Notamacropus eugenii: one gene and its partner. The protein of the gene in region 2 binds, or shares a complex with, the protein of the main gene of each other region. Links are inferred from orthologs where the notes say so. Each region holds a gene or a part of one and is shown on either strand. Other genes may lie near its edges. The genes, in order: IER5 and PPP2R2A.

Region 1 (3,903 bases), on a different chromosome or scaffold from region 2:
GTCAACTAATTCTCAGGAGCTACATTACAACTGGCTGTGTAGTTTTTCCATAAACCTATTTATTCTACTTCAAAGTACTGGTAAAGACATTTTAGTGGAAAGGATAAAACAGTGCTCATGGGAAATCCTACAGGCAAAGGACCGCCATACCCCCTTCAGACTGGGTTACAGGAAACTTCAAAGAATATGATTCCAACCTGGAATCATACGTTGGTGTTTCTCATCTATTGAATAGCTGCCCCAGTTTGGTCTATTCCGTACTCGGCCGTAAATATATTTTATTTCAACAATATCACCCTGGTCGGTGGGACCACGGTCCTTTTCTCGCTCCTCCCAATCCCAAGCGGGTGATTACAGAAAAGGAGACAGTGAGGTTGCTTCAAAATATTTAATACGTGTCAGACACGTAAAGTTACATTTTATACAAAAAAAATGTCAATACACGAAGAAAATACTGTACAAAAACTCTACAAGCCCCCAGCCTTTATACAACAAAGACGGGAGTAATCACATCTACTAAAGCCACGAGGCCTTTCCATTAGGGCATCTGTAAACTTTTTCATTAAACACTTTTTAAAAGCACTGTGTAATAATTCTGACCTAGAGCTTTTAAAATATATATATGTTTATATATATATTTCCTTATAAACTCAGTATTTCAAGCTTGATCTCTTCTAGGAAGCTCACCAAGCTTTCTGAAGGGGGGAGACCTCAGAGTCTGTCAACAAGAATTGTCCCTCCCCCCAGGACCGCGCTCCGGGCTGCGCAGGGCGCCCACGAGGCCCGCGCGGGGCCGGTCGTGGGGGGGCTCGCCGAGTCCCTTCCCCCAGCTCCCGGCCCGGCCGCGCTGCTTCCTCCTCGCCGCCCCTGCAGGAAAGTCCCGGCTCCGCGCCGCCCCCGCCCGCCCCCAGCGTCTCGAGCCCCAGCCCGGAATCCCGGTGACAAGAAAGCCTTACTTCAACAATCAACTTACAAAAACACTTTATAACACAAGCCCCCCCGGCGCCCAGGGGCCCGGCGGCGCGGGCACAGTCCGCTCGCGGCTCGCCCCCGGGCAGGTCCCGCTGCCCAGCCGGCTCCGAGGGGGCGGGGCGGCGGGCCGGGGGCGGGGCCCGGCTCGGGGCGGCACCGCCTCAGTCTCTCCCCGGGCGCCCCCGCCCCCGCCCGGGCCCCGGGCGATCAGAAGGCCACGATGGCAGTGCTCCAGGGGTTGAGGTTTCTTAACACCGGCTTGTCGCAGTACATGGGCCCGGGCTCCGCCGCTTCCGGACCGCGCGGCGGCTGCTGCTCCTCCTCCTCGCCGTCCTCGTCCTCCCGGCCGCCCCCGGGGCTTTTGCGCAAGAGTCCGGAGAAGCTGGACCCGAAGATGGTGATGAGGCTGGCCACGTTACCGGTCTCCATCTCCTCCTCCTCGCCCGGCTGTTCCTCCGAGTCCCTGCGGGGTTTCTTCACGGGCGAGCCGCCCGAAGCCAAGCACCCCCCGGGGCCGCCCCCCGCCCCCGAGGCGCTCCTTTTCCGGGGGCAGACGGGCGGTGGCGGGGCCCCCTCGTCCGGGCGCGGGTGGCAGGAGCAGTCGGCCCGCGGGGCGCCGCGCGAGGAGCCGGGGAGGCGGCGGCAGCAGCAGAGCCGCGCCCGCGGCGGCCCCTCCGGGACGCCTTCCCCGCCGCCGCCGCTCTCCGCCTCCTCCACGCGGCGCCTCGGGGCTTCGGGCCCCGCCTCGGCTCGGGGCGGCGGCGACCCCTCGGGCGGGCGCTCCCCGAGGGGCTCGGGGGCGGGCTCCGGGTCCTGCTCCATGCTGCTGTCCCTGGGGAGCGGCTCTCCCCAGCCCGGGGCCGGCCCCCCGGGAAGCTGCGGCGGCGGCGGCGCGAGCGCGCCCGGCCCGGGGCCGCCCAGGCAGGGGTCGCTCAGGTAGACCTGGCGGGCGCTGCGAAGTACCAACGACACCAGCAGGTTCTTGTGGAGCTTGATGCCGCCGCGCTGAACCCTCGAGTTGTAGATCTTGCCCAGGGAGATGCTGACGATGCGGTGAGCTTCCAGCTTGAACTCCATCGTCCCTCGCTCAGGCGCCTCCGCAGCTCGAGGGCGGCCGATTCACGGGCGGCTACCCCCTCGTCCCGTCCGCGGGCAGGGTGTGGGGCCGGAGGCGGAGACGCGTCAGCTCCTCCCTCGGCCCAAAGCGAGCGAACAAACAACCGGGACCACGGCGACGCGAGCTCTGACCCCTTTCTCACGGCCGCGACGGAGCACACGGGAGCTTGGCAACCAGTCCCGCCGCTAACTGAGCGGAGACGGGCGACCCGGCGGCTTTATATAGTCCTCTCACGCCAGCCAATCAGGAGAGACTAGCGACCGTTCCGACCGGTTCGGGGAGAGCTCGCGCTCCCTCGTGCGCCCCTCTCAGCCAATCAGAGGCCGCGGGCCGGAGACAGGGCAGATTCGAACGTTAGTCCCGCGGAGCCCTCTCTTAAAGGGGGAAACAGCGAGGAAGAGGAAGCGGTGCTCGAGGGGGGAGGGGAACGAGCCGGCCAAGTCCCCGAGGTGTCACCTCTCGGGGCGCTCGGGCGTTCCCGGAGGAGGCGGGGGAAAGCCCTTTGTTCGGCTGTTCGTGCGGTGGGCAGGGCGTTCAGGTGCGTACTGGACACGGCTGGATTCCCGAAGCCGAAGCTGGCCCTCCTAACGGTGGCTCCCCGGCCGCGGCCACCCCGACTCCCCATCCCCCACCCCAGAGACACCCCAGCGGCGAGTGAGTGCCCTTCAGAGGGAGCTCCGGGGCCGGTAAAAAGAGCGTCGGAGGCCGAGAAGCCCGGGCTCGGATCCTGGCTCCCCGGCAGTCGCTTAAGCCTCCCTGGACCTCAGTTTCCCCGTCCGTACAGGAGGGAGCAGGCGCCAGAGCCTCGGAGGTCCTTTCCCACTCTAAAGGAAGAGCCAGGATCGCTTCCCGACCGCGCCCCTCCCCCCACGGTACGCGGACACACGCCCTTTCCCTCTCCCTCCACCCTTTTCCCCTCCCCCCCGGCCCCGCCTCCACTTTAAGAGACTTGGCTAAGGAGGTTTCGTAGCCGGGCTGAGGCGTGGGAACCCGACCGCACGGGCTGTTAACGGGCCCCTCACCTGCCGGCCTCCAGCGCTGCTCCGGCTGCAGACGCCGCGTGCCCCGCGAGGGCCCGCCCCGGCAGCCAGGGGACGAACGCGGCTTCGGGGGGCTTCTCCTGCGGGGCTGCCGGCGGCGCCGCCTGCTAGTTGTGCTGGTCCTCGGTCCGCAGCCCGTGTGGCCGGGCGGCGGAGCCCCCGGCGGGGCGAGGCCCTGCGGCCCCCAGCCCGGAATCCTCCCGGCGGGAGATCTCCCGAGGTGCCGGGGAGCTGTCCTCCAGCTTGGTTTGGAGGTGCCTGGAGGCACATCCATTCAGCACACTTAATCTTACTTTTAAAAAAACGGAGCTATTTAAATAGCTTCCATATACGTGTGTGTGTGTATATAGATAGACGGATAGATAGATAGATAGTGTGTGCATATATATATATGTATATAGTTGGGGAAGGTGTTAAGTAAATACATGAATGGAAGTGTTTTGAACTGTTTGAAACACAATACGATGTCTTTTCAAGATATAGATCTGCCTTTGTTTAAGAAAAGCCAAAATACCAAAAATCCAGACTTAGAAAACATTTAAATTAAGGAGCCGTTTGCTTTCTTTCCAAAAACATATCCCCACGGTTTCTCTTCAAATAGCTTCTCCTCAAAGTGCATACAAAATATAATTTTAAGATTTTTCTTTACAGGAAACGTTTCAGGAACACACATAGAGCTCCTAAGGTTTAGCACTTGAAGAGTCACAGGTAGTAATCCATAAAGCTAGAATTCGAATCCAATTCCTCTGCCTCCACATGCCCATGACATATTTA
Region 2 (3,903 bases):
TTAAGGAAGGGGAAAAAAAAACAAAAACCTGGCAAACAGAATCACCCACAAAATAAAATAGCATCCATCTGAAAAACAGGAAAATGGAAACCATATTTTATCTTAATATAAAGCATTAGAACAAGATATTGTGATATGGCTTTCTAAATATCCATTTGTCCTCAGTTCTCCCAATCTAAAGGTTAAGAGACAGATATTTTATATACGTAACACATGTAATACTCAGATTAAATTCAAATGAAATCGAGAATTCATTTATTTTAGACACCAGACTGCTATTAAAAGGTGCGACCTATTATAATAGACCCATCCACCCCACATCACTCCCCCTTCCAACAGGCCTTCCTTGTGAAGATCAAACCTCTCTAATAACTCCCTACTACCTGCCAAATAGTCTAATGCCTTAATCTGCTCCAGAAAGACTTCCACAAATGAACAGTACCCCACCCCTTTTAGAGTCCCAACTCCCAGGCAGGGACGTTTCCTGGTCAAGCCTTCCCTTCCCTAGCTCAGGGCTTTCATTCAAGCTGCTAAGATCCACTTCAAATGCCACCTCTCCCACAAAAGCTTCCCTGAAGGCAAAGCCCACTTTGAAGCATAAGCACTCTAAGATGAACCTGGTGCCAATAATATATATGCCAGCTGACTTCCCGAAAAGAAAAATCCATTTCATGATCAGGACTCCACCTAACCCTGGCCAGCCACATCATTAAAGCATGCCCCACTGGTACAACTTGAGAGGAAAAGCTCCAGGGCTGGCTTAACACAAATCTGTGACAACTCCTGGGAAAAACCATGCAGATATGGATATAGGAAAGTCCATTAATGCCCTCTTTTTACGTGAAGGGAGAACACAGGAGAAGGAGAAAATGATTCACACTAGACACAAAAGGCTTGCCAATTTCTTGCACTTCATTAAAAATAAGATTTCTAATTAGAAAAAAATTTTAAATGTGTAGCAAAACTAACATCTAGATCCTATTAAACAGGCATCAAATTAGAGCTTCTGATAACACACAAAGAAATACTTTCATACTTTCCAGAGACAAACGAAAACTTTGGATCTGAAAGGTCTACTTTTGAGAACTTGTGTTGGTCATTAATATGAAAAGTTAGCTTCAAAAACAAATAAAAAGTCAGCAATATTTAAAACTTCCTCTAATGACAGAAAGAAAAAATTACAGAAAAAAAAACTTTTACTGGTACATGTATGAAACAGAGTCAACCTTCAAAAGTACAGTTTCCACACTTGTTTGTCTAAGCTAAAAAACCTTCAAGATGAGTACAATGTATCACGAAGAAAATCAAGCAGCAAAAAGCTTACTTACAACAAAGAGCTCCCAAGTCTTTGTAAGTCTACAGTTCTGTGTGAACTGTTCATTTTAACATTAAGTCATGAATTTTCTTAAATTAACAAGGCAGGTGGGTGGGAGGATGAAAACAAAGCACCCAGAATAGAGAGCAAAGGACTGCTTTTATGGCCCGAGTCAGAGGTTTTCCTTGAGCTCTGGGTAGCTGCCCTCCAAGCAAGCCCCAACTAGAGAGCCCCTGAGGCTGGCCCAGGCTCTCACACAACCAACAGCTTTACTAGCCATCATCTGCAAGAACTATTTCTGCAGAATCAAAATTTAAAAGAATATCCAGCTTAGTTTATATTCAACTTCCATTGTTAAAAAATATTCTTACCTTCTGCTACATCATCATCGACTGCCCCTTTCACCTGAGAAAAACACCACTGAATATCATTTCCTCCTCCAGCTCCTAAAAGGAAAAACAATCCCCATTAACATCATGTCTGAGTTTTGTTCACTCCCCCACCCCAAACAGAGAGCTAGTGTCCAAGGTCAGCACAGCACCACTAGCGACAGCTGCCCACTCAGAGAACCTCTGTGCCCCTAAATCTCCAACTTGGAGAAAGTTGTAGTAGAACATCATTAGGAATTTTTTCTGCTACTGTGATCAGATCTAGATTCAAGATCAAGAAAAAAAGTCATAACTCATTACTTACAAAGAAAAAGTTATTGAGACTTAGTTTGTTAAAACAGTTCTTGACCAATTTTGTGCCTTTGGACCCTTGAGAAAGTACATCACTTAAAAAAACTGTCTTCGAAGTTTTTTTTTAATGTTGGAATTAAGTTTTTTTTAAGAGCATGAACTCATTGGCTGATCACTAACACTGCACTTCTGCTTAAAACTGTTCTTTAATCTTCACCTCCTCTCCAAAAACGATGCTAATCACATGTAGTTAAGAAAGATCAGAAAGCAATACAAAAAAGTAAACCATTTTTAAAGTGGTTTTCTTTTTAAATCTGCAGACAATATCCCGTGTTACAGTTAATAAACTAAAACTACCATGAAACACTGCACGAAGTGACAACTTCAGGAACATTTCTGGCTCTGTGAAAGATGGTGATTCATTTGAACCTTGCTACCAACACCTTCCCCTCCCCCCAAAAACACCACCCATTTTTCTACATTTCATTGCCAGCCAATCACTCATTCATTACATACAGGAAAAGTAATTGAAATGAATGCTGCTAAAGAGGCTGTCAAAAGGAAGTTTCTTTCTTCCTTCACCCCACCCCTCAGAATCCAAAGGGCCAAGCAACAGATGTAATTTACCATCTTGTGCAACAGTTTTAATTTTACTAGATTAACAAGGCCAAAAAGCAACGTGCTTTTTAGCAAAATCACAAGTTCAATCCAACACATTAAAAAATAGAAAATACAAGCTGAAGTGCAAAAATCCATCTGGATTTCGAGATAAAGAATTAGCTCAGTCTGTGATGTTTCTGTCTTTCACACTGCTATAGATGGAAGCACAGTGAAGAAAACTTGTGGAGGAGAAAGGGTAACACAATTAAATGGTCTATTCCTGATTCTCTTAAGTGACGGAAATCTTTCAGACCCAGGAAATTTGCTGGGGGAAAAAAATGTATTTTCTTTTTTTCCTCTCTGCACTCCCACTCTTCGTTAACAGAAGATGCTCCCCATACCTACCAAGTCCTCTTCCTCCTATGTCAGTAGGTAAAATCTCATTTTTCCAATACAGGCTCGTACAGATTGGAATCAATGGCTACTCTGCCTTTCCAGCTCTTAGACTGTGATTCTCTCTTCCGCCACTGGCTCTCAGCGAACTGCTCAACTAATAAGCACAAGAACCACTGAACTCCATGAACCAGCCCCCCAAACGCCCACCCCTGGGAGAGGGGCAGAGACACAAGTGGCACGGGCACAGGCCTTCCTTCAAGCAAAGATGAAAGTTTGGGTTCGTTTTCCACCCTTGGCACCACGCTTGGACTGCTTCATCTACAAGACCAGGGGGCTCATCTCGACGGGGACTTTTCTGGGCCTGACAATCCCGGGGGCTGGAGGCCGGGCCGGCCGGGCCCCTCGGGGGCACGAGTCCGGGGCTGGCCCACGTTTAGAGGGGACCTTGCCGGGCCTCCCCCTCCTTCGGTCTAACACAAGAGGCGCTGGAGCAGCGTGACCTCCGCCCGGGAGCCTCTGCACCTTCGGGGCTCCGAGCTTCTGGGGCCGCCCCACTCCGCGGCCTCCGCGGTCAGGTCGGGCATCCACGAGGCCCGGCGGATCCACGGGAGACCACGGACAACGCGGGGACCGTCTCGGAGGGAGGGCACCTCCGGAGGAACGCGTGACCTCCGAGTGCCGGGCTACAAAGGCGCGCTTCCCGGCCAGCCTGCCGGCCGCAGGTCCCCGAGGTCGGCCGAGCCCGCGACCTCCCGGGGCTCCGCAAGCCCCCCACGCTCGACGCTCGCGGCCCTGGCTGGGCCTCAGTTTCCTCCTCTGTAAAATGGCCCAGGACCTCCTCAGGTGCCTCGGCTCCCTCTCTCTAGGCAGAGGTGCGAGGAGCGCCCCCCCATCCCGAGAGCCGGGGGGAGG

The links.
Region 1: the proteins of PPP2R2A (region 2) and IER5 are in contact, whole or in part, in a cryo-EM structure (PDB 8UO5), measured with the Homo sapiens proteins. The link is inferred for Notamacropus eugenii from reciprocal best matches to the Homo sapiens genes PPP2R2A and IER5. Residues at the interface, in NP_002708.1 of Homo sapiens: Glu91, Ile92, Glu93, Glu94, Asp116, Tyr178, His179, Asp197, Leu198, Met222, Leu225, Thr226, Glu227, Val228, Thr230, Ser247, Phe280, Phe281, Glu283, Ile284, Ser287, Cys334, Tyr337, Glu338, Asn339, Asp340, Phe343, Lys345; in NP_057629.2 of Homo sapiens: Ala7, Arg9, Ile10, Ile13, Ser14, Lys17, Arg25, Gly26, Lys29, Leu30, His31, Lys32, Leu34, Leu35, Val36, Leu38, Val39, Leu40, Arg41.

What each region holds. Positions count from the first base shown.
Region 1 is NC_092873.1:464,456,516-464,460,418, forward strand, and holds IER5 (immediate early response gene 5 protein), read right to left. Parts: upstream 2,359-3,903; 5' UTR 2,050-2,358; coding exon 1,180-2,049; 3' UTR 375-1,179; downstream 1-374. UniProt on the Homo sapiens protein: Plays a role as a transcription factor. Mediates positive transcriptional regulation of several chaperone genes during the heat shock response in a HSF1-dependent manner. Mediates negative transcriptional regulation of CDC25B expression.
Region 2 is NC_092872.1:744,066,485-744,070,387, reverse strand, and holds the start of PPP2R2A (serine/threonine-protein phosphatase 2A 55 kDa regulatory subunit B alpha isoform), read right to left. Parts: upstream 2,513-3,903; 5' UTR 2,390-2,512; coding exon 2,353-2,389; exon of another isoform or gene 2,009-2,352; intron 1,762-2,008; coding exon 1,687-1,761; intron 1-1,686. UniProt on the Homo sapiens protein: Substrate-recognition subunit of protein phosphatase 2A (PP2A) that plays a key role in cell cycle by controlling mitosis entry and exit. Involved in chromosome clustering during late mitosis by mediating dephosphorylation of MKI67.